7 linked regions of the Macaca mulatta genome follow. The protein of the gene in region 1 interacts with the protein of each later gene in a biochemical or structural test. Links are inferred from orthologs where the notes say so. Each region holds a gene or a part of one and is shown in the gene's direction. Other genes may lie near its edges.

What was found.
Region 2: of the proteins of ATM (region 1) and CHEK1, one has a biochemical effect on the other in vitro, tested with the Homo sapiens proteins (2 studies listed by BioGRID, with this or other methods). The link is inferred for Macaca mulatta from reciprocal best matches to the Homo sapiens genes ATM and CHEK1.
Region 3: the proteins of ATM (region 1) and SMC1A form a complex in vitro, tested with the Homo sapiens proteins (2 studies listed by BioGRID and IntAct, with this or other methods). The link is inferred for Macaca mulatta from reciprocal best matches to the Homo sapiens genes ATM and SMC1A.
Region 4: of the proteins of ATM (region 1) and CHEK2, one has a biochemical effect on the other in vitro, tested with the Homo sapiens proteins (6 studies listed by BioGRID, with this or other methods). The link is inferred for Macaca mulatta from reciprocal best matches to the Homo sapiens genes ATM and CHEK2.
Region 5: of the proteins of ATM (region 1) and CREB1, one has a biochemical effect on the other in vitro, tested with the Homo sapiens proteins (2 studies listed by BioGRID). The link is inferred for Macaca mulatta from reciprocal best matches to the Homo sapiens genes ATM and CREB1.
Region 6: of the proteins of ATM (region 1) and EIF4EBP1, one has a biochemical effect on the other in vitro, tested with the Homo sapiens proteins (2 studies listed by BioGRID, with this or other methods). The link is inferred for Macaca mulatta from reciprocal best matches to the Homo sapiens genes ATM and EIF4EBP1.
Region 7: the proteins of ATM (region 1) and RPA1 form a complex in vitro, tested with the Homo sapiens proteins (3 studies listed by BioGRID, with this or other methods). The link is inferred for Macaca mulatta from reciprocal best matches to the Homo sapiens genes ATM and RPA1.

The regions. Positions count from the first base shown.
Region 1 is NC_133419.1:109,179,055-109,182,554, forward strand, and holds part of ATM (serine-protein kinase ATM), read left to right. Parts: intron 1-186; coding exon 187-325; intron 326-1,303; coding exon 1,304-1,386; intron 1,387-2,385; coding exon 2,386-2,526; intron 2,527-3,255; coding exon 3,256-3,372; intron 3,373-3,500.
Region 2 is NC_133419.1:126,025,968-126,029,467, forward strand, and holds part of CHEK1 (serine/threonine-protein kinase Chk1), read left to right. Parts: intron 1-644; coding exon 645-749; intron 750-2,681; coding exon 2,682-2,777; intron 2,778-3,500. UniProt on the Homo sapiens protein: Serine/threonine-protein kinase which is required for checkpoint-mediated cell cycle arrest and activation of DNA repair in response to the presence of DNA damage or unreplicated DNA.
Region 3 is NC_133426.1:53,229,506-53,233,005, reverse strand, and holds part of SMC1A (structural maintenance of chromosomes protein 1A), read left to right. Parts: intron 1-1,799; coding exon 1,800-1,956; exon of another isoform or gene 1,957-2,006; intron 2,007-2,359; exon of another isoform or gene 2,360-2,394; coding exon 2,395-2,549; intron 2,550-2,671; coding exon 2,672-2,823; intron 2,824-3,500. UniProt on the Homo sapiens protein: Involved in chromosome cohesion during cell cycle and in DNA repair. Central component of cohesin complex. The cohesin complex is required for the cohesion of sister chromatids after DNA replication.
Region 4 is NC_133415.1:22,818,256-22,821,755, forward strand, and holds part of CHEK2 (serine/threonine-protein kinase Chk2), read left to right. Parts: intron 1-1,133; 5' UTR 1,134-1,139; coding exon 1,140-1,458; intron 1,459-3,500. UniProt on the Homo sapiens protein: Serine/threonine-protein kinase which is required for checkpoint-mediated cell cycle arrest, activation of DNA repair and apoptosis in response to the presence of DNA double-strand breaks.
Region 5 is NC_133417.1:112,842,871-112,846,370, forward strand, and holds part of CREB1 (cyclic AMP-responsive element-binding protein 1), read left to right. Parts: coding exon 1-149; intron 150-3,500.
Region 6 is NC_133413.1:39,997,289-40,000,788, forward strand, and holds part of EIF4EBP1 (eukaryotic translation initiation factor 4E-binding protein 1), read left to right. Parts: intron 1-3,278; coding exon 3,279-3,458; intron 3,459-3,500. UniProt on the Homo sapiens protein: Repressor of translation initiation that regulates EIF4E activity by preventing its assembly into the eIF4F complex: hypophosphorylated form competes with EIF4G1/EIF4G3 and strongly binds to EIF4E, leading to repress translation.
Region 7 is NC_133421.1:3,420,284-3,423,783, forward strand, and holds part of RPA1 (replication protein A 70 kDa DNA-binding subunit), read left to right. Parts: coding exon 1-25; intron 26-2,199; coding exon 2,200-2,268; intron 2,269-2,419; coding exon 2,420-2,612; intron 2,613-2,765; coding exon 2,766-2,905; intron 2,906-3,347; coding exon 3,348-3,496; intron 3,497-3,500. UniProt on the Homo sapiens protein: As part of the heterotrimeric replication protein A complex (RPA/RP-A), binds and stabilizes single-stranded DNA intermediates that form during DNA replication or upon DNA stress.

The DNA.
Region 1 (3,500 bases):
TGATATTGCATTGGTATGTATTTTTGATGTATTTCATTTATGACTGTTTTGTTTGTATCTGAGGAATTATAATCATTCCATTGTCTAGATTTGTGCATAAATTCTGTTTTTGTTTTTCTAACTCTGAGAAGTTTAAATGTTGGGTAGTTCCTTATGTAATGTTTTTTGTTTGTTTTTTATTAATAGGATCGAACAGAGGCTGCAAACAGAATAATATGTACTATCAGAAGTAGGAGACCTCAGATGGTCAGAAGTGTTGAGGCACTTTGTGATGCTTATATTATATTAGCAAACTTAGATGCCACTCAGTGGAAGACTCAGAGAAGTATGTGTTTCAAAGAAGGAACATTACTTTCTTGCTATGTTACTCTCTGTAGACATATATTAATTATAGAGCCTAATAAGTAAATCTGCTTAAAATCACAAACGTAATCCAAAAGCTTAATTTATATCTGATAGCTTCAACATTCCCTGGTTGCTTTTTCACTTAATATCTCTTGGTAGAACTGATAATAGGTGACTACACTAAATTAATTATTTGATTTCTTCTGATAATCTTCTGGCATACTTATTACGGAGAATTGCATAGAGGCAAGTCTATTCAAATAATTGAATAACTGAACATTTCTAGAGTCAAAAGTTTTTTTAAATGATGTGGTTACTAAAACTGTGCCCTAGGACTTAAAAACAAAAAGCCTTTACCATTTCTACCATAGGTGCTAAAATGCTATTATTTAATTATTCTTCTTACTGTGTCAGTTCAGATAATTATAAGCTGCTATAATCTTTGGTTTTGTGACTAGTCTCTAAGTATGCTTCTAAGTATCTCCCCATACTTTAATAATTGCATTTTTTTTTCTATTCAGAATCATATCTTCAAGTTTAAATTCTTATTACTTTAAAACACGAATGGGGCTTCACATACTGTTTCTCTAAGCAAACAAAAAGTATTGACATGTCTTTTAGTTGCATTTAATAGTGATGTGACAGGAGTATGTTATCTATGTACTATGCAAACTATTACGTAAGTATTTTAAGATGCTTAGTCTGGTTCCTCAGGTGGAATCTGGTCTAGTTACTCCTGTCAGGTAACCTGCAAATTTACTTAAAGCTACATTAGCCACTGTTGAGCTTTGACCCTGAGCCGCACAGTGGCCAAAGCCTAGAGTCTTCATTTCTCAATCACAGCCTGAACCACAGATTAGCAACAAGTTGGGGCCAGTGGTATCTGCTGACTATTCCTGCTTGACCTTCAGTGCTGTTCCTCAGTTTATTACTAAAATCTCTCCATTTTTCAATACAGAAGGCATAAATATTCCAGCAGACCAGCCAATTACTAAACTTAAGAATTTAGAAGATGTTGTTGTCCCTACTATGGAAATTAAGGTAATTTATAATTAACTCTTGATTTTTTTTTAAACTAAATTTTTTTTTATTAGATTGAACCATTTGAAATAGTATTTTTATGTAAGTCAGAATTGGTTAAATATTGGCAAATTTCATGTGTTTCAACCTATAATTTCTCAGTATTATAATTTCCTTTGCCCAAGCCCTAAAATACTCAAAAGCTTCTCTTGCTTTCTTTTCCGTTGCCTTCAGTTCTGCACCTCCCATCTTTCTTATGAAGGTCTATAGACTGTTACTTTCATTGGCCAGAAGGAGAGTTTCTGTGTGCTTATGCCAAGATTAATTTTTGACTTGGCAAGGAAGGTTCCAATTGTCATATATTGTTCTTAAAAATTCTATGTGCAATAAAATGTATTGGCTGTGATATATCACAGTATTAAGTAATATAGTACCTATTATTATAATATTAAGTTGACTTCATATGCATAATACACTTAGCTGTGTTCTGATGTTCTTTCATTGCAAGAAATAATGGAAGTAATTTCATGTGGGCAGGGATATATGTAATAATAAGTGTTATAAGTTTAGAAAATGATCATCTTAAATACATTGTCTTTTCATTTTGCAGTTTAGTGCTTAGTATCTAGTTACTTGATTTGAAATGTAGCTGTATCATGTGGATTGACTGCTATTTTTCTAGCTATATCAGCTAAGTGATTTAGCTGAATATTTCCTTAAAATGCCAGATTTAGCAGTTACAACCCAGAAAACTCCTACTCTTTTCCAAAATTTACTTTATGTTTTTGTGATGAGTTATTTCTCAGATGACTTTAGGTATATTAGTGAATCTCTGATTAAACAGTAGTTAAAGTTACAGGCGAGAGCCACCATACCCATCCTATAGTTGCAGTTCTTAACCAATATCACATTGTCATTTGTTCCTCTGTTTAATATTAAAATTGCCATTTATAATGTATTTTTCTTTAAGTGCAAATAGTGTATCTGACCTATTATCAATCATGTTTATGCTTTTATTAGGTGGACCACACAGGAGAATACGGAAATCTCGTGACTATACAGTCATTTAAAGCAGAATTTCGCTTAGCAGGAGGTGTAAATTTACCAAAAATAATAGATTGTGTAGGTTCTGATGGCAAGGAGAGGAGACAGCTTGTTAAGGTGAGCCATCCCTTCTCTGGCTTAGCCCTTAGAGTTTTAATGATGAAAAATTTTAGTTGATTACTTCTTTCTGATTTATTTGGGTTTTTGTCTTTATTTTGAATAATTGCAAATGAGGAAGATTTGTAGAGTAGAAATGCATTACTTTCTAGAACAAGGCTTTTCTCCATTTTTTTTTTGTGTGTGTGTGTGTCTCTGAAAGACCATCATTATTATATGGTTGATTCAAGTAAAAGATTACCATTAAGATGTACAGACATGTACAGTGAGCTTGCTTCTTGTGAAAAAAATACTTTGGTGTCTGTCTCTTATCTCCTTGAATAGTACAAGTTGACGTCCTTTGTGTCAGTATACTGGGTCTGGTACTGTTCCAAGGGCTATTTAATGTACCAAAAAGGGAGAGCATTCTTCCTTTGCCATTTGCTCATGAGCTCTTTGGGTCCTACTGGGGAGTGGTGGAAAGACACAGTGCTGTTTTACTCAGGTGTTTGCAGTATGCCTTCCTATGGGGGACTTCCAGTTAATCTAATTACAGAAGTAGCGAGGGTAAATGTTGTAGCTTATTCTAAATGAAAGAATGGCAGTAGATCTTTAATTATTTGGGAGACTGTCAAGAGGTGCACAGATGCTCAGATTTGTTTCTGAGTGCCCTTTGCTATTCTCAGATGGCTCTGTGTTTTTATAATAAAATAAACTGTACTTGTTTATTCATGTTTAATTATTCTGAAGGGCCGTGATGACCTGAGACAAGATGCTGTCATGCAACAGGTCTTCCAGATGTGTAATACATTACTGCAGAGAAACACTGAAACTAGGAAGAGGAAATTAACTATCTGTACTTATAAGGTAACTATTTGTACTTCTGTTATTTCACTAGAAACATATAAAAGATGCCATTTGGCTGGGTGAAGTGGCTCATGCCTATATTCCTAATGCTTTGGGAGGCCAAGGTGGGAGGATCGCTTGAGGCCAGG
Region 2 (3,500 bases), about 17 Mb from region 1:
ATGCATAGTTACGAAATTTCACAACACTTATCTCTCCTATGAATCACGTAAACATTTTTGAAAACAAGACTAGGGCAAGAAGTGATTCATCTGTTTTTTTTTATTATTTTATTTTTTGAGACAAAGTCTTGCTCTGTCGCTCAGGCTGCCGTGCAGTGGTGTGATCTTGGCTCACTGCAGCCTTGACCTCTCAAGTTCAAGTGATCCTCTCACTTTAGCCTCCTCAGGAGCCAGGACTACAGAGGCACACCACCACGTCCAGCTACTTTTATTTATTTTTTTGTAGAAATGGGGTCTCACTATGTTTCCCAGGCTGGTCTCAAACTCCTGGGCTCAAGCAATCCTTCTGCCTCAGCCTCCCAAAGTGCTGTGATTACAGGCCTGAGCTACCAGGCCTGCTCTGATTCATCTATCTTTGAAGTGCCTCTAAAGTTTCTAAGTTGGGATTCTCTTTTTTTTTTTTTTTTTTTTTTTTGAGACAGAGTCTTGCTCTGTCACCCAGGCTGGAGTGCAGTAGCCAGGTTGGGATTCTTAGTTTGAAAACCATATTGAATTAATTCAAAGGAAACTTTTCATGGATTTATATTACCATTTTTCCTTGAAATCTGAACATTAAAAAAAACTGGGACTTGCTTTGTTTTTAGAATTGCCATGGGACCAACCCAGTGACAGCTGTCAGGAATATTCTGACTGGAAAGAAAAAAAAACATACCTCAACCCTTGGAAAAAAATCGATTCTGCTCCTCTAGGTAACGGATTATCTTGAGTGAAAGAGTACTGATTTCTTGAAGTCTTGTGCTATTTGAATTTTTTCTTATTTTTTTGTTTTAAACTTAGAAATAATTCATGAATCTTGTAGATAAATTGGTAACTATAAGTAAAAATTAAGGAAAAAATAACTCTTTCGTCCCAGAACTCTGCCATAGATTTTTAAAAATATTTTGGGGAGTGTATATTCAGAGCAACTTGAATCTGTGCTCTTAGGTGGCTTTTTACTTAAAAAAAAAAAAAAGTTTTCACATGTGCTATACTTTGTTACAAATAAACTCATTTGTTGCTTAATTATAGGGATGCACTCTAACAGTTGTTTCCTTAGGTGAGTTCATCATTGTGTGAACATCATAGAGTATACTTACATAAATCTAGATAGTACAGCTTACTATAAATCTAGCTATATGGTATAGCCTATTGGTCCCAGGCTGCAAACCTCTATAGCATGTTACTCTATTGAGTACTGTAAGGAATTGTAACATAATGGTATTTGTGTATCTAAATATAGGAAAAGTATAGTAAAAATACAGTGTTATAATCTAATGGGACTGTCTGTTATACATGTGGTCCATTCTTGACTGAAACATCATTCATGTGGCCCATGAGTATGTAAAATGAATATATGTATATTATTTATATGTGTTTTTATACAAAATGAGATCACACTAATATTTTGTAACTGCTTTTGGTTTTCATGTGCAGTGAACATTCTTCCATGACTATAATTGTAGGTCTACATCGTTGTTTTAAAGGCTGTGATGATATTCTGCCATGTGGATATGCCTTATGATACTCTTTTAATCACTTTGTTGGAGATTTTTCTAAATTTTCACAGATACAAAAGAGATATAAGTATCTGTGTAACTTAATCATGACGCATACCCTTAAATTGTTCATTGAAATCCCCAGAAGCAAAATTGCAGCATCAAAGATGTAGTTTTTATTATTATGGCTTATTTTGTCAAATTGCTTCCTGAAAGTTCGAACCATTTCATCACAGTCTCATCAATTTACATTAAAAAAAAAAAAAAAAAAAAAACTAACAGGCCTTTAAATGATAGTCTTTTATTTTTATTTTAAATTTAATACTAATGAAGTTGTATACACTTTATTTATATGTTAGTTTTTTGTCTATTTTGCTCATTTTTGTCAAGCATATTTTTCTTACCAGTTTGAAGTTTTTTGTTTTTTTTTTGTAACATATTGACCTTTGCACTTGTTACAAATACTTTTCACAGTTTATCATTTATTTTCATTTTGTTTTGCTATATTGACATTCAAATCTATTATCTTGTCCTTTGTGGTCCCTGACTATAATGTCTTTGGAAAGGTCTTCTACCTCTACTATTTAAAAGTTCCCTATTTTTTCATTTAATGGTTTTATGGCTTCATTTTTACATTTAAATCTTTGGTCCATTAGGAAATAATTTTGATGTAGGGAGATATATGAATTTTTTCTCAAGAAAATCAAGATACCTTAGGATGGTTAGATTACTGTCTCTTTAAAAGTTATTGGTAAGTAAATGTTCATTATAAAACTGAATAAGGGGGTCACGTGAGAACATGACATTGAAGTAATGAAATTCAGTATTGAAAATGGATATAAGGGGGTTTCTGTATCTTTTTGTTAATCTTGTCACATGAGGAGAAACATTTCCACCTGGCTCTTGTTCTCAGTTGCAAACATTTGAGAATCAGATCAAGGGAAGACTATTCCAAGATATAGACAGCAGCAGAGAAAAACCGCATGAAATTAAAGCAATAATTTAGTAGCTTTAATTCTTTCTCTTCCCCAGAAATAATATTTAGACATGAGTAGGCCAACAGAAAATGTGTTTCTTACCGCAAGCCATAGGCTTCTCGAATCTCCATGACGCTTTCATGAATGTTGTCTTAATGTTTGTTTTTAGCTCTGCTGCATAAAATCCTAGTTGAGAATCCATCAGCAAGAATTACCATTCCAGACATCAAAAAAGATAGATGGTACAACAAACCCCTCAAGAAAGGTAATATCCTTAAACTACATGTTTGTTTTTCTGTGGAAGAAAAGGTAATTGCAAAGTCATTATCACAAATCAACAACACATGATGGCTATGATCTCTGTCCTCATGGAGATTATAATGTCTACTAGGAAAAAAATATAAAAATAATTTTATTAATAATTATAAAAGGGAAAGTCAGGGTACTATAGCTAAGTGTTTGACCAAGTCTAAGGGACAGGGAAGACTTCTTCCTGAAGAAATTACATTAAATCTAAGATTTGAAGATTAAAGGGAAGCTAGCCAGGCAAAGTAAGTGGCAGATTTGATTCTGAACAGGGGAAGCAGTATTTGAAAACTCTTAGGTTTTTGAAAGTCTGATGCATTTGAGAAACTTGAAAGATCAGTATGGCACGAGCCATGTCTGCTGTGTTCATCATTGCATCGTCAGTGCTTAGCACAGTATATGGTGCACCATAGGCACTCATTAAATATTTGTTGAGTGAATGAGTGAACAGGGAAGTGGGAGAGGAAGAGAGGTGTGAGATGAGGACAGAGAGGTCACTAGTGGCCCGTTTGTGGAAGAAGACCTCGTAAGCCATGTTAAGGATTTGGGGCTTTAACTTAAGACCACTGGGGAGACCTTTGGGAGATTTTAAGCAAGAATATGACATAGTCATATCTTTGGTTTAAAAATATCTCTCTGACGACCTTCCCCCCCGCCTCCATTGTTTTTTATGAATAGGGAA
Region 3 (3,500 bases), on another chromosome or scaffold:
AGTGAACTTTATGTGGCATCCCTCCAGGAGGTACATCATGTCAGGATGTGCCCACTATTAGTGATACTGAGTTTGATCCCTCAGTTAAAGTGTCAGTTGCTAGGTTTTTCAACGCTAAATGTACACTTTTGCCTTTGTCATTAATTAGTAATCTTTAGAGTGATGCTTTGGCATTTTGTGAATATCTTGTTCCCCAAAAATTTTTTACCCAGTGGTTTTCACATTTTGATTAAATTTGTTTTAATAGTTATATATAACATCTTTATGTGTTTCTAAAACCAAAAGTATAAAACAAGGTACATGAAGAGAATTCTTGCTTCCATTCCTGTCCCTTTCACCTCTCTTTCTCGATAGATAACCCTTTAATTAGTTTTTGGATTATTCTTTTTGTTGTTGTTATATGTTTAAAATACAAATATATTTGTATTCCCTCTACCTTCACTTAAATAAGAGATAGCGTACACTATTGTGTAGCTTTCATATTTGACTTAAAAACCTATCCTGGGGCCGGGCACGGTGGCCCGTGCCGGTAATCCCAAGCACTTTGGGAGGCCGAGGCGGGCAGATCACGAGGTCAGGAGGTTGAGACCATCCTGGCTAACATGGTGAAACCCTGTCTCTACTAAAAATACAAAAAAAAATTAGCCAGGCGTGGTGGCGGGCACCTGTGGTCCCAGCTACTTGGGAGGAGTTAGCCAGGCATGGTGGTGTGTGTCCGTAGTCCCAGCTACTTGGGAGGATCACTTGAGCCTGGGAGGTAGAGCTTGCAATGACCAGAGATCATGCCATTGCACTCCAGCCTGGGTAATAGAGCGAGACTCTGTCTCCAAAAAAAAAAAAAGTGTATTCCTTTTCTCTGTCTTCACTTGTTCATCCTGTAGTCCTTAGCTTAAACATATTCCTGGAAGCCTACCTTAATTTTTATCACCCGATGAGGTAACCAACCAGAACGCCTCAATGCAGGTCACATATTTCTTATTCTATATACTAGTGGGATCCTTCCCTCTACTTATTATACTTATTTATACCTAAAATACCCTAGGCTCACTAAACATAATAGTACTAACATTCACCACTCAAGAACTATCAGTCTCCTGATCTCTGAGTTAGGTGTCTTTCTTGTGAGCTGATTCAACATTGCCTGCTTATCATTGTTTTCACATTCATCCTACAGTATTCTGGTTGTTTACTTATCTGCATTCCTCTGTTAGACCCCTGAGCTCTGTGAGCACAGAAACCAGGGCTCACAGGACAGGATGGCCCCAGTGCCTGGCACTTGGTAGGCAATCAGTAAATATTTATTGACTGAAAGTGGCAGAAAGGCACAAGCCCAGACATGCATTGCAATATCCATAAGAACTAAAACTAAACTCAAATGGAATTTGCTCAAATGTAGTGATCTAAGCAGAAAACGTGAATTGCCTTACTTATTGTGGAGCTGTAAGTGGAGTCCAGAGCAGCCAGCGTGGGAGCCTCCAGGTCACCCTGGGGTGGTACTGGCTCATGGCTTGGGCTGAGAGCCAGAGAGGGGCACCACCAACTGCTCCTCCTGAGAGACAAAGAGGTCGGCAGGGCCTGGGGGAAGGGCTAGAGATTAGAAAGCAGCCTCAGCCTATAATTTCCAGAGATGGTGGAAATGGTTACTATGGGTAGGATCTGATGGAAGGAACCAAGCTGGAGAAGAAGAACCTGCCCTCCATATAGGAGCAGGCACCCAGGCCACACTCGGTCATCTCTCGGTGGGGGCCTGGGCACAGGGGCCAGGCCCTTCTTGATGTTGCTGGGCCTGGGGCTTACAGGATGCCCAGGCTGAGGAAGAGATCAAGCAAGAGATGAACACACTGCAGCAGAAGCTGAATGAGCAGCAGAGTGTGCTTCAGCGTATTGCCGCCCCCAACATGAAGGCCATGGAAAAGCTGGAAAGTGTCCGAGACAAGTTCCAGGAGACCTCAGATGGTAAGATTTACCCTTCTACTTGGGCCTATGATAAGGACAAGAGGCTAAAGGTATGCCACGGGCCTGCTGTACATCACAGCAGTTCCTGTTCTGACATGCTTTCTTACTTAAAACTCCCAGGAGCCCTAAACAGTAGGGGTTATTACACCTGCTTTATAGAACAGAAAATTGCTGAGGTTCCCAGAGGGTAAATGACCTGTTCAAGGTCACGTAGCTGGTTGCTGGTAGAACACAGGGAGGAATCCATATTTGTGTGGCTGCAGGCCCCTGTTTCTTCCTCTGCATTGTATCCAGTGGCCAGTCCACTGGATACAGATCCTTCTGGGACCCTCCTCAGGCATTCCTCTCTCTCTTGGTGGGATGTCCCTGCTCTGGATTGTCATTTGCAGGTCCTTCTTGCCAGGGCACTGAGGGGTCACCTGTCTTTCTTTCTGGCAGAGTTTGAAGCAGCCCGAAAGCGAGCAAAGAAGGCCAAGCAGGCATTCGAACAGATCAAGAAGGAGCGCTTTGACCGCTTCAATGCTTGTTTTGAATCTGTGGCTACCAACATTGATGAGATCTATAAAGCCCTGTCCCGCAATAGCAGTGCCCAGGTAGGCTGGAGCCCCTTACCCAACCAGCTGCTACCATCCTCAGTTATCTTTCCCTCTAGGCTTCCTGTCCCTATCTCCATCCAGACTCAGATACAGATCCTGACCCATCTGCCTTTCCCTAGGCATTCCTGGGCCCTGAGAACCCTGAAGAGCCCTACTTGGATGGCATCAACTACAACTGTGTGGCTCCTGGGAAACGCTTCCGGCCTATGGACAACTTATCAGGCGGGGAGAAGACAGTGGCAGCTCTGGCCCTGCTCTTTGCCATCCACAGGTAAGGCTGATCCCCTAGGTCAGTTGACGAAGACTGAACTGAGGCCACCAGAGGCTCTGGGGCCCAAGGATACACAGAGATCTGCAAAGGTGAAGATAGTTTGGTGGAATCTGGATTGCATCCCTGTTTCACTATCTACTGCAGCGTATCTGGCTTTGGTTTTTCTGGACCTGTCTTCCCCATCCACCCTCATCCGCTCAGCATGCCCTCACCGGCCTCTGCATGTATTCAGTCCCACCTCCAGGCTTTTGCTCACAAGGTTGCTGGCTAATAATCCCTTTCCATGTAAATCTAGGTTGATCATCACCTTTCACCCCTTCACCCTTTCTCATTCTCCTCCCCTTCCTTTAGGAAGCCCTCCTTGATCACTGTGTCATACCCTGACCTTCCCCTCCTGAATGCCAGTACTTGAGTCTGACTCCTGCAGCTTATATTGCTTGATTGTACAGCATCAATTTCTTGAGTGCTGCTCTGTACCAGACCCTGCGGAGGGATTAGGTACACAGATGTATCAGACAGGGTCTCCGGCCTCGAGGAGCTCACAGTCTAGCAGAAGCCAGACGCATAAACAGACATGTGCTAAGTGTTGTAACCGGGTGAGCATGGGTGCGATGGATACACAGAGGAGGTACACTTAACCCAGTCTGTGGGGAGGGTGTGGGTAAGCCAGGGAAGAC
Region 4 (3,500 bases), on another chromosome or scaffold:
ATAATGCAGCAGGTTATTGTACAATTTCTTTTTGACTTCTATTCCAAGCCACCTGATCCTTTGTCTTCTTTCTCTTTTCAAAATACACAGATGCTCCTCAACTTTCAATGGCGTTATGTCTAAATAAACCCATTCTAAGTTGAAAATATTGTTAAATTGAAAATACATTCAATATACCTAACATACCAAACATCATAGTTTAGCCTAGCCTCCTTTAAACATGCTCAGAACACTTATATCAGGCTGCAGTTGGGCTAAATTATCTAACACAAAGATTATTATTATTTTTCGTAGAGGTGGGGTCTCAAACACCTGCCCTCAAGCAATCCTTCTACCTTCGCCACCCAAAGTATTGTTTACAGTTGTGAGTCACTGCACCTGACCTATTTTATTTTTAAATTTTATTTATTTCATTAATTTATTTTTTTGAGACAGGGTTTCACTCCTGTCACCCAGGCTGGGGTGCAGTGGCGTGACCTCAGCTTACTGCAACCTCCACCTGCTGGGCTCAAGCAATTCTCCTGCTTCAGCCTCCTGATTAGCTGGAACTACAGGTGCCTGCCACCACGCCCGGCTAATTTTTTGTATTTTTAGTAGAGATGGAATTTCACTATGTTGGCCAGGCTGGTCTTGAACTCCTGACCTCATGATCTGCCCGTCTTGGCCTCCCAATGTGGTGGGATTACAGGTGTAAGGCCCCATGCCTGGCCCCCACTATACGTGAAATTTAAATGTAGTATTGATTGTATCAATACATTTTTGGTTTCAGTCTTAATTTAAAATAATTGGACAAATGTGAGCTTTTATGAGCCCCCCCAGCTCAATTTTATTGCTTTTTACTTATTCATAATCTTCAGATAATTTGTTTTTTCCTTGTAGTTTATGGCTGTCAGACAAAAAACTGATCCGGTGACAATGATCTGGTGAAAAGCTCAGCCCAGAACTGTAGGTCTGGGCTGTTAGGACTTTTAATTTTTGGAGAGCATGTTAGCCCTGGGTTCTTTTCTTTTCTTTTCTTTTCTTTTCTTTTCTTTTCTTTTCTTTCCCGTTGCTGTTGTAATAGGCCCATTGTTTACTTTTTAAAGTCTTGTGCCTCGAAACTCACCTTTGTTGTTGGACACTTTCTTTTTGAGGTCGTGATGTCTCGGGAGTCGGATGTTGAGGCTCAGCAGTCCCATGGCAGCAGTACCTGTTCACAGCCTCATGGCAGCGTTACCCAGTCCCAGGGTTCCTCCTCACAGTCCCAGGGCATATCCAGCTCCTCTACCAGCACAATGCCAAACTCCAGCCAGTCCTCTCACTCCAGCTCTGGGACACTGAGCTCCTTAGAGACAGTGTCCACTCAGGAACTCTATTCTATTCCTGAGGACCAAGAACCTGAGGACCAAGAACCTGAGGAGCCTGCCCCTGCCCCCTGGGCTCGATTATGGGCCCTTCAGGATGGATTTGCCAATCTTGGTAAGACCCTTTGTTATATAGTATCATGTTTTGTTCAGAAAAACAGTTACAGAAAGTTGTTGTGTTACCGGGTGGAAGGTTCTGATTGTGAGTTGTCCAGGTTTTTGGCACGTTGAACAAATAATTGAACATCATGCATGAACAAGCAATGAAAGCATAGATTTATTGAAGTGGAAGGCAATAGAAGCTAAAGTACATGTCGCAGGATAGGAGCAGGCCTGAGCAAGTGGCTGCAGAGCCCTGGTAGCAAAGTCTTCTGGGGTTCAAGTACCCTCTAGAGGTCTCCCATTGGTTACCTCCTATGTAGATGAAGGGCTGGCTCACAGCCCATTAGAGGCCACAGTGAACTGGACCTCGACCATTCCAAGACTGGTGGGGATTGGCGCCTTATGCAAATGAAGGTCCTAGAATGGACAAATCATAGGCCAGAGTGCAAATTCTTTTTTTTTTTTTTTTGAGAAATCTCGGCTAGGCTCACTGCAACCTCTGACTCCTGGGTTCAAACGATTCTCCTATCTCAGCTTCCTGAGTAGTTGGGATTACAAATGCATACCACGGCACTTGGCTAATTTTTGTATTTTTAGTAGAGATGGGGTTTCACCATGTTGGCCAGGCTGATCTTGAACTTCTGACCTCAAGTGATCTGCCTGCCTCGGCCTCCCAAAGTGCTGGGATTACAGGCATGAGCCACCATGCCTGGCTGCTCCAGGAAGTTTGTGTGAATCGGCCTTAGATTCCCTGCCTTCAGACCCTATTTTCCTGCCTTAGTTAGTTGCAGCAGAGTGCTTGAGCCACCTTAGAATGATTCTGGAGTTTGAAGGTGATAAAAGGTAAAACCAAAGAGGCAGTGTTGGGTGTTGCATTGGCTGTTACCAGCTGTGGATTCCGTTCATTTATTCTTTCAACAAATATTAATTGGATATTTACAATGTGCTGTCCATCCAAGGATCTGAAGGTAGCTTTGGACCCTCTTCCTAGAAAAATGCAGATTCATGCAAACTTGCAAACATTATCCCCTAATCACAAAAGCTTCACCAGTTAACCTCTGCTGTGGTTTGCCACAGCTTCAGAGAATCAGAGCTGTTCAGAATAGAGATGGCTATTTGTTGACTACTTGTTATTTGTTTTTGTCTCAAAATAGTCAACCTTGTGATTTAAATATGTTGACCCTTTCTGACACCTCCTGGTTCCAATAGTAAGTTTCGCTATGCGTATGTTTAAAATACACATGTGTGTATTTTAAAATTGCCAGGCGTGGTGGCTTATGCCTGTAATCCCACTACTTTGGGAGGCCAAGGCAGGAGGATCACTTGAGGCCAGGAGTTCAAAACCAGCTTGGGCAACATGGCAAAACCCTGTCTCTACTGAAAATACAAAAATTAGCCAGGTGTGGTGGTGCATGCCTGCAATCCCAGCTACTCAGGAGGATAAGACATGAGAATTGCTTGAACCTGGGAGGCAGAGGTTGCAATGAGCCAGGATTGTGCCACTGCACTCCAGTAAAAAAAAATAGTGTTTTTTTTTTTCTTTTCTCTTACATTACAATGACCTCTTTACTAAACACATTTGAACTTGGCATTAATAGGGTAGAATATATTAATATAAAGAAATGAAGGACTGGTATATCATTTTGTGTTTTGTCACTCACCATCCTTGTTTTATTTCATGTCTAACTTTGATGTCTTGAAAAAACTGTAAAAAATGGAGAAACAATACACCTGCATTCTACATATACAACTTTAAATTTATAAGTAGACACTCGAAGCTATTTTTTACCCATTTAAAATATATTTTTTCAGGCCAGGCATGGTGGCTCATGACTGTAATCCCAGCACGTTGAGAGACCAAGGTGGGCGGGATCACTTGGGGTCAGGAGTTCAAGACTAGCCTGGCCAACATGGGGAAACCCTGTCTCTATTAAAAATACAAAAATTAGGCCAGGCGTGTTGGCTCACGCCTACAATCCCAGCACTTTGGGAGGCCGAGACGGGCGAATCACCTGCGATGGGGAGTTTGAGACCAGCCTAACTAACATGGAGAAA
Region 5 (3,500 bases), on another chromosome or scaffold:
GCCTCTGGAGATGTACAGACATACCAGATTCGCACAGCACCCACTAGCACTATTGCCCCTGGAGTTGTTATGGCATCCTCCCCAGCACTTCCTACACAGCCTGCTGAAGAAGCAGCACGAAAGAGAGAGGTTCGTCTAATGAAGAACAGGTACATATACTGCATTTACTTAGATTGTTGTGGGTTAAGTGTGTCTTCACTTTCTACTGGATGTGTATCTTTACATCTACTGGTAATAGGATCTTTGCATTGGGTTTTTTTTTTCCCAGCAGAATTAATGGATCTTGTAAACTTTATTTAATGAGCTGCATTTATAAGATAGCTATAGGATTATGGGTCAATCTTTGATCATGGAGTAGTTTTCTTTCATGCAGTTTCCCCACAGGAGATTTAATGCACAACCTTCCTATGTTTGCACTCCAGCCAGCTTGCCAGGTTATTTCAAAATGGTTTCTTTTCATATATAGTATTGTTCAAGAAGATCAAGAGTTTCACATATGTATATTAACTGTGTGTTAAATTTTATCTATATTAAATTTACTTGATACAAAGTAAATGTATGGTGGCCAGTTCATGTTTTAATGAATAATATCTTTACTCAAAATAATAACATTTTAACACCTAAAGATTCTTCAAAAATATATTCTAAGAATACCACATTATGGAAAAAAATCTTAAAATACAGTCTTCAAAAACTACTACCTTCAAAATCTACGAAATGTTGGTAAAGCAGTTCTCAGAAAGTAACTTCATTGCTATAAATGATTTTGCCATCAAAAACAATAAAAACAAGTTACTAAATATTAGTTTAGAACTTTCATATAGAAGTGACCGAGACAAACAGAAGAAAATGAAAATAGGGTATGTAAAGTTTTAAAAAGTTTGAAATTGATGAAAGTATTTCACTGTTCATCCCAGGATACTTCAAACACTGATAAAGTGAAAGAAGCAGGGCTTCCAAGTCCTAGCCCTGTCCCTCCATTTTGGGAGACAGTATTAACTTTCTATACCTCAGGTTTGCAAAATGGGATTCCAGCACACACCCAAGTATTGTTTTAAGAGTCAAGTAAGATAATTCCTTTGAAAGCACTTTGTAACTGTAGTGCTCTGTTGAAATGGGTGTGTGTGTGTGTCTGTGTGTGTGCAATTTCACTTACAGCTCAGATCAGCTTTTTTGTTCCTAAAATATTCTTAGCTGTCACAATGTTAGTAAATTATATCTGAACTCAGAGAAAAATCTGTCTGGCAGAGATTTTTCTCTGATATTAGAAAAAGAGTTACAACAAGCCAAGTGACTGTTTTTTTTTTTTTTTCCTCCTGAGACAATCTTGCTCTGTCGCCCAGGCTGGAGTACAGTGGCACAATCTCAGCTCACTACAACCTCTGCCTCCTGGGTTCGAGCAGTTCTCCTACCTCAGCCTCCCGAATAGCTAGGATTACAGGCGCCCACCACCACGCCTGGCTAATTTTTGTATTAGTAGAGACATGATTTCACTATTTTGGCCAGGCTGCTCTTGAACTCTTGACCTCATGAATCCACCCTTCTCAGCCTTCCAAAGTGCTGGGATTACAGGCATAAGCCATGGTGCCCAGCCCTCAAGTGACTTTTATTTGTGTTCCATCCGTCTGTGATTTTGAGTATTTAGGTTTTACTAAACAGAAGCATAAAGGCTGCATTCATAATTTAAATATATTTTAAAATATAAATTAAAATCTGTAAATAAAAATTAAAATCTTTTCAGTTTTTAAAAATGTTTATAAGGAAACTCTTTTTTGTTGTTGTTGTTGTTTTGAGACGGAGTCTCGCTCTGTCACCCAGGCTGGAGTACAGTGGCCGGATCTCAGCTCGCTGCAAGCTCCGCCTCCCGGGTTTACGCCATTCCACTGCCTCAGCCTCCCGAGTAGCTGGGACTACAGGCGCCCGCCACCTCGCCCGGCTAATTTTTTGTATTTTTAGTAGAGACGGGGTTTCACCGTGTTAGCCCGGATGGTCTCGATCTGCTGACCTCGTTATCCGCCCGTCTCGGCCTCCCAAAGTGCTGGGATTACAGGCTTGAGCCACCGTGCCCGGCCGGTTATAAGGAAACTCTTAACTTAAAATTAGAAGCAAGTCTGATTAAGAAGTCTCAAGCAAAGGCTGAGTAGTAATATTTAAGACAACACTGCTTACTAAAGAAAACAGTTCTAAGCAAACATAGGAGCAAAATCAGAAAATAAATCCTTTTGATTATAAAACACAACAGAAGGACTTCTGTTTATGTCTATGTAGTTTGGCTCTGTGGAACAAAATGTTTCCCCCCGTTGGCCGGGTGCAGTGGCTCACGCCTGTAATCCCAGCACTTTGGGAGGCCGAAGCGGGCGGATCACAAGATCAGGAGATCGAGACCATCCTAGCTAACATGGTGAAACCCCATCTCTACTAAATACAAAAAAATTAGCCGGGCGTGGTGGCAGGCGCCTGTAGTCCCAGCTACTCTGGAGGCTGAGGCAGGAGAATGGCGTGAACCCAGGAGGCAGAGCTTGCAGTGAGCCGAGATCGGGCGCCTGCACTCCAGCCTGGGCGACAGAGCAAGACTCCATCTCAAAAAAAAAAAAAAAAAAAAAAAAAAGTTTCACTGCGTTGACTGGCAGACCAAATTTCCTTTTTCTTCTATTTATTTTTCTTTCAGATTTAGGACCACTGCCACCAACAAGTTAGGAACAGGCCACACGTAACTACAGTTGCTACCAGCCTTTGCTTGCCTGAGACTTACCATGGACTCTTTCATAACATTACTTCGCTTAGATGTAGTTACCCTACTCTTGAAAAAGGAAACTTCCTATTGATTCTGCTATAGTTCTTTTCCCCTTTCCTTACCAGATTACTGCTGCTTCTACTTTTTCAGCCTCCATTCACTGGAATCTGGCTTCTGTGACTAGCATACCCCTCATATGTCTATAAAAAGGTACAAATTCCCTCCCACTTGGCAAATCTAGTATTTTCTTTCATTTAATTTTAACTCTATGGAGTATGACACTTTCGACTTCTCATTACTCTAAACTCTTCCTTGGCTGGCTTCACCTGGTTTTCTGACTACTTTTCAAATTTTTCCTTTGAACCTTCATCCATATCCATGTATTTCAGGCATTACTTTATATGCTGATACCTCCTAATTCTATATATTCTGGCTTTGACCTTTCTGCCGAGTGCTATTTATTAAGCCCCAGTATATATTATTTTATTAATTCTACCTACAGTGAGGTAGAAGCTTATCCACACTTTAGAGGAGGAGAAGGTAAATATCAGAGATAAATCAAATATATTGCCAAAAGTCACACACTTTATGAGATTAGTAGAACTGAAATTTGAACCCATATCTGGCACCAAAGGCTGTAAACATGCTACTTCACTGATTCCAGTATGCAGCCATCTTCTGCTGTGCCTCTCAAACCAGAGCACATGGCAGTATGCTAGGGATGTGTATGTAGCCTTAGGGGGTGAATGTGGAGTGCTTTCCTTGA
Region 6 (3,500 bases), on another chromosome or scaffold:
GTAAACAAACCAACAAGAACAAAAAAAGTGTGGCTCATGCCTGAAACCCCAGCACTTCGGGAGGCTGAGGCCGGTGGATCACTTGAGGTCAGGAGTTCAAGACCAGCTTGGCCAACATGGTGAAACCCCATCTCTACCAAAAAATACAAAAATTAGCCGGGCGTGATAGCACATGCCTGTTGTCCCAGCCACCGGGGAGACTGAGGCGGGAGGATTGCTAGAACCCAGGAGGCTGAGATTGCAGTAAGCCAAGATCATGCCACTGCATTCCAGCCTGGGTGACAGAGCAAGACTCCATCTCAAAACAAACAAAACAAAAAGCAAAGTTGGGGAGAAACAAAAAGGGGGGGACTCTTGCCGAGTCTCAAAGATTAAGAAACAACAGAAAAAAAGTGGTCCCATCTGGAGCCAGGATGTCCAGCCATGTGTCCACTGAGTCCCCACCCCGCTGCCTGGACCCTGTGGTCTCTGGGCTTCCCTCCCCTCTGGGGAGGGGAGATTGTACAACCTCAAGCCTTGCAGAGTGGAGCAATGCCACATCTGGCTTCTAGAACCAAAACAAATCTGGGTCACTTTTAAAAAAAGAGAGTTAGAAATTGGTCTTCCCAGGCCGGGCGCGGTGGCTCAAGCCTGTAATCCCAGCACTTTGGGAGGCCGAGACGGGCGGATCACGAGGTCAGGATATCGAGACCATCCTGGCTAACACAGTGAAACACCGTCTCTACTAAAAATACAAAAACTTAGCCGGGCGAGGTGGCAGGCGCCTGTAGTCCCAGCTACTCGGGAGGCTGAGGCAGGAGAATGGCATAAACCCGGGAGGCGGAGCTTGCAGTGAGCTGAGATCCGGCCACTGCACTCCAGCCTGGGTGACAGAGCGAGACTCCGTCTCAAAAAAAAAAAAAAAAAAAAAAAAAAGAAATTGGTCTTCCCTTACCTCCCCTCACTGTTGCCCTGGCCCTGCAAAAAGAGGGCACCACCGCCCTCCATTTGTAATCTATTGGGCTCATAGCCACTCAGACCTAGAAGGTGTATGGGTCTTTATTTTACAGATGAGGAGACGGAGGCCCAAAGCAGGGAGTGCAAGGAGCAGCGCGCATAGGGTCACACAGCTGACTGGGAATGGAGCCCAAATGCACCCTGGTTCTTTCCTTTACACCCCTCCTCCTAAGAAACAGCTCTGTGCTGGAGTCCCACAGGCAATGAGCAGGGCTGTCAGCTTCAGCATCGCTGCCTCTCCTGCAAGGGGACAGGAGAGTAAGACAAGTGACTGCCTGGAGGGGCTGCAGCCAGACTAGAGGAACACGGCCAGCAGGTGAAGTTTCTCTTTAGGTATCTCTCTACATTCCTCTGCCCTTCAGCATCTCAGGTCCGCCTCAGCACAGAGCCCCGTTTCGTGAACTCGCACTTAGTCTCCAAGATGGAAATTCGTGCCTTTCAGGAGTTTACAGAGAGTCCAGTGCTGAGGATCAAGAAATGAATTTCAATATGTACAACTATTATGGATCCATAAAAATTAAAAATGAAAAAAGTAAAATAAAGCGTAAGAAATGAATCTCAGCTGTTGGAATGCCACTCATCATAGCCCCTAAGTGAGGGAGAGATTTCAAGGTTATTGCTAAGGAAGGGCATTCCTGAAGTCCTTAAATCATGATTCCCAAACTTGGGTTATTCATATTTTATCTGCACAATTATTACTATACCTTGCATTCCACTTGTACAGATGTTTAACATTTCTTTATATCACCTTAGCTTTTGAATTTAGCTTACATTATTTTATTATAGAATCTACAATATAGTATTATATTATTTGTACATTAAAAGGAATTGCTATCACTACTATATGTGGAACACCAGATTCACTTGCCATAAATAGAAGGTAGCTATAAAAAGATACAAAGGGGCTGGGCACGGTGGCTCACGCCTGTAATCCTAGCACTTTGGGAGGCCAAGGTGGGCAGATCATGAGGTCAAGAATTTGAGACCAACCTGGCCAACATGGTGAAACCCCGTCTCTACTAAAGATACAAAAAATTAGCTGGGCGTGGTGGCACACGCCTATAATCCCAGCTACTTGGGCGGGTGGGGTAGGAGAATTCCAAAGTCAGTGACACACTGGCAGGACACACTGGGGACCTCACAAAGGAGAGAGGCTCAGCAAGAGAGCCTTTGGGGGCAAGGAGAGCCCACCCTTCACTCCTGCCTCTGGCTCTTCTCTGCAAAGCCCAGGCATTTCTCTTTTTTTTTTTTTTTTTTGACATAGGGTCTCACTGCAGCCTGGACCTCCTGGGCTCAAGCAATCCTCCCGCCTCAGCTTCCCGAGTAGCTGGGACTACAGGCACGTACCATCATGCCCAGCTCATTTTAACTTTTTTGTAGAGATGAGGTCTGTCTAAGTTGTCCAGGCTGGTCTCAAGCTCCTGGGCTCAAGCGGTCCTCCCACCTTGGCCTCCCAAAGTGCTGGGATTACAGATATGAGCTACCACACCCGGCAAAAGTTACTATTTTTACTACTCTGGTTGAATCACTTAATTTTCTGTTTGGTCATTTGTAAAATGCGGCTATTCTGGTTATCCCACAGGAGTGCTGTAAGGACAGGACTGAATAATGAATAGAAATGCATTTTTTCCACCATGGTATGTGATTGTCATGGGTAGTTAACACTGAGCCCTGGTAGGTGAGTGAGCTGAGGGGCTTTAGGGACAGAGCACAGTGTGCACAGAGCCCTGGGAAGACACAGGTGCAGTCGGTGGCCTGCAGACCCCTTCCATTAGATCATTCCATGTGAAGGGGAGTCAGGGCCATTTGGAGGTAACGGAGTTCTGAGTGGCAGCCAGACCCCCAAATAAGCCTCATTGATCTGGCTTTTTTTTTTTTTTTTTATGAAAAGGAGTCTCGTTCTGTTACCCAGGCTGCTGTACAGTGGTGCAATCAGCTCACTGCAACCTCTGCCTCCCAGGTTCAAGTGATTCTCCTGCCCCAGCCTCCTGAGTAGCTGGCGTTACAGGCTTCCGCCACCACGTTGGCCAATTTTTGTATTTTTAGTAGAGACGGGGTTTCACCATGTAGACCAGGCTGTTCTCAAACTCCTGACCTCAGGTGATCCGCCCACGTTGGTCTCCCAAAGTGCCGGGATTACAGGCATGAGCCACCGCACCCGGCCTCCTCTGGGTTTTTCAGGAGAATCTGCTGCCTCTACTGCAGCCACACCTTTAAAAATTGGAAAAACCAGCAGGCAAGAGGTTGCAGGTGGCTTGACCAACCTCCCTGTGCCCTTCTAGGTACCAGGATCATTTATGACCGGAAATTCCTGATGGAGTGTCGGAACTCACCTGTGACCAAAACACCCCCGAAGGATCTGCCTGCCATTCCCGGGGTCACCAGCCCTTCCAGTGATGAGCCCCCCACGGAAGCCAGCCAGAGCCACCTGCGTAATAGCCCAGAAGATAAGCGGGCAGGCGGTGAGTGTTGGGGCTTGGCCAGGCTCTACCTTGGGAAAGGGA
Region 7 (3,500 bases), on another chromosome or scaffold:
CTCTCTAGAACTGGTTGATGAAAGTGTGAGTATTTGTCACGTGGGGAAGTAAGTAGTAGACTCACTGAGAAACAAAAAGCTCAGCTCTGCGGGCCTATGAGGTGAAAAATAATAGTAGGCCAGAGACAAGCATGATTGTTATTGTGCTTTTCCCTCTGTCTTTTGATGCTGTCTGGAGTAGAGGGTTAAGGTCATAAATAAAATCTTTGATCTCAAGTACAGTGTTTGTAGCAGTAGAAAGTAGTTTTCTAAATGTGTAAGTAGCCCCATGGGCAGGAGGGACTGGAGACCATCTGATTTGCTGGCAGGTGCAGTCAGAGCACTGGGAGGTGATGCCTGCTTGTGAGCACAGTGCAGCTTTGGGCCACCGCAGAAGGCACACAGTTGTGCCCTTGGTACAGAAATGGTTTTGTGGGAAATGGGCTCTGACTGTGCACATTCTTTATTTGCTTTATTTAAACTAAACCAAACCATGACAATGAGACAAAATTCCTATCCCATGGAAGCATGACAGTCTTGATAGCTGTTCATCTATTAGTTTTATTAATAATTCCTGCAATTGCCGGGCATGGTGGCTCACGCCTGTAATTCCAGCACTTTGGGAGGCCAAGATGGGCAGATCACTTGAGGTCAGGAGTTTGAGACCAGCCTGGCTAACATAGTGAAACCCCGTTTATACTAAAAATACAAAAATTAGCCAGGTGTGGTGGCAGGTGCCTGTAGTCCTAGCTACTTGGGAGGCTGAGGCAGGAGAATCGCTTGAACCCAGGAGGCAGAGGTTGCAGCCAGCCAAGATTGCACCACTGCACTCTAGCCTGGGCGATAGAGCAAGACTCCATCTAAATAATAATAATAATAATAATAGTAATAATAATAATTCCTAAAATGTACTTCAGCCTTCTTTTCAAACTGCTGCAGATTTCCTGTTGGTTCAAACTCCCAAAGGGGGAGAAAAAAAAGTAGATGTCTTTTTTTTTTTTTTTTTTTTTTCTGGAAGTTAACACCCAGAATGTTTGACTGTGTGATGGCAGAATCAATATTAGAACCTAATTTTTTTTTTTTTTTTTTTTTTTTTTTTTTTTTTTTACAAAGTATTGCTCCAATGTGTGGTGGGTTGGCTAAAATTTCTTGTCCACCTGTAGCATTCTGGCTGACAGAAAAGCAAAAGTGAAAATCAGATCACAAGCAACTTGAAAACATGACTTATTCTGACATTTTTGGCAATGGCCCCGAATGTGAAGTGGTTTGTCACCGAGAGGGCAGCTGAAGGGAGCTGGTGAATCACCCCCGTGCAGCACCTTCCTCGTGGGCTCCGGGCGTGTCCCTCAGTATTCAGCTGTTTTTGGTTTTTATTGTCAGAATAAATTAAACTCGTCGTTGCCCTTTTGTGCTGTTGTGTTTCTCAGTTGAGGCTAATGCAGCATGATTATGGGATCAGCTAGTTGAAATTCTCATTCTTCAGCGGGGCCAGTGACTTGAATGTGTGACTGTAAAATGCGGGTTCCTGGGATGTCCGTAGTCCTCTCTGGGCCCCGTTTGTGTGTGTGCCCCTGCTCTCAGATGTCACTTGGTGCTGGGGTGGCCTGTGTTCGATCCCAGTGTCACTTGGTGCTGGGGTGGCCTGTGTTCGATCCCAGTGTCACTTGGTGCTGGGGTGGCCTGTGCTCAGTCCCAGTGTCACTTGGTGCTGGGGTGGCCTGTGTTCGATCCCAGTGTCACTTGGTGCTGGGGTGGCCTGTTTTCAGTCCCAGTGTCACTTGGTGCTGGGGTGGCCTGTGTTCGATCCCAGTGTCACTTGGTGCTGGGGTGGCCTGTTTTCAGTCCCAGTGTCACTTGGTGCTGGGGTGGCCTGTGCTCAGTCCCAGTGTCACTTGGTGCTGGGGTGGCCTGTGTTCGATCCCAGTGTCACTTGGTGCTGGGGTGGCCTGTGTTCAGTCCCAGTGTCACTTGGTGCTGGGGTGGCCTGTGTTCAATCCCAGTGTCACTTGGTGCGGGGGTGGCCTGTGCTCAGTCCCAGTGTCACTTTGGTGCTGGGGTGGCCTGTGCTCAGTCCCAGTGTCACTTGATGCTGGGGTGGCCTGTGTTCGATCCCAGTGTCACTTGGTGCTGGGGTGGCCTGTGCTCAGTCCCAGTGTCTCTTGGTGCTGGGGTGGCCTGTGCTCAGTCCCGCAGCCCTAACCTGCCCACTTGCTTCTGCAGGGTGAAATCAGAGCTACAGCTTTCAACGAGCAAGTGGACAAGTTCTTTCCCCTTATTGAAGTGAACAAGGTATGGCTGTGCTGACTTGAGAACTGACACGCCCCGGGGTGGAGGCGGATGAGAAGACTCTGGCCCAGGGGAGGGGTGTGTGGTGACAGACCAGGGGTTTCTGTCCAATATGATGGCAGTCTCAAATTCTGTGACGTGGCCTCCTGCGCAGGTGTATTATTTCTCGAAAGGCACTCTGAAGATTGCTAACAAACAGTTCACAGCTGTTAAAAATGACTACGAGATGACCTTCAATAACGAGACTTCCGTCATGCCCTGTGAAGACGACCGTCATTTACCTACGGTTCAGTTTGATTTCACGGGGATCGATGACCTCGAGAGCAAGTCGAAAGACTCACTCGTAGGTAAGCTCATGCATGGGACGGAGGAGCAGGGAGGACTCGCTTTCTTTGCACCGTACGGGGCGGTGTCAGGACTTCAGTGCTTGCCCTTCACCCTTTGCTGGCGTCAGAGTGGGAGCCTTGAACGCCTCCTGCTCACACGCGCCTGTGTTTTAGACATCATCGGGATCTGCAAGAGCTACGAAGATGCCACTAAAATCACAGTGAGGTCTAACAACAGAGAGGTTGCCAAGAGGAATATCTACCTGATGGACACATCTGGGAAGGTGGTGACTGCCACGCTGTGGGGGGAAGATGTAAGTGCTAGGATGGGGCGGTCAGCACACACAGGAGGAGCTCCTGGGGTGGAGGCGGTCTTGTCCTGTAGGATGGGGTCTTCAGCACACACAGGAGAAGCTCCTCGTGGGGGCGATTTTGTCCTATGAGTTGGGAGCTTTCACCGTGTAGATGGGAAGGGTTGTGCTGTCTGGCAAATACTTGAAATCCTTTATCCTCCGTGAGATTTGCTGTGATTCAAGCTTTACGTGGGGAAACGCTCTTTCCCCCGACTCGAGGAAAGCGGTGATAGTTTCGATGTGTCTCTGAGCAGATTCTCGTGTGTGAGGTCTGTCTTGTATAAGATTCCGTGTACACTGATTACATTCACTCTACTATTGACTGTTTGCCTTGTTTCCTATAAAAACCGTCTCTGTTCTTCCTGCCAGTGACACTTGTCTATGTCTGGTGTTTCTTTTACAGGCTGATAAATTTGATGGTTCTAGACAGCCCGTGTTGGCCATCAAAGGAGCCAGAGTCTCTGATTTCGGTGGACGGAGCCTCTCCGTGCTGTCTTCAAGCACTATCATTGCGAATCCTGACATCCCGGAGGCCTATAAGCTCCGTGGTTGGTAA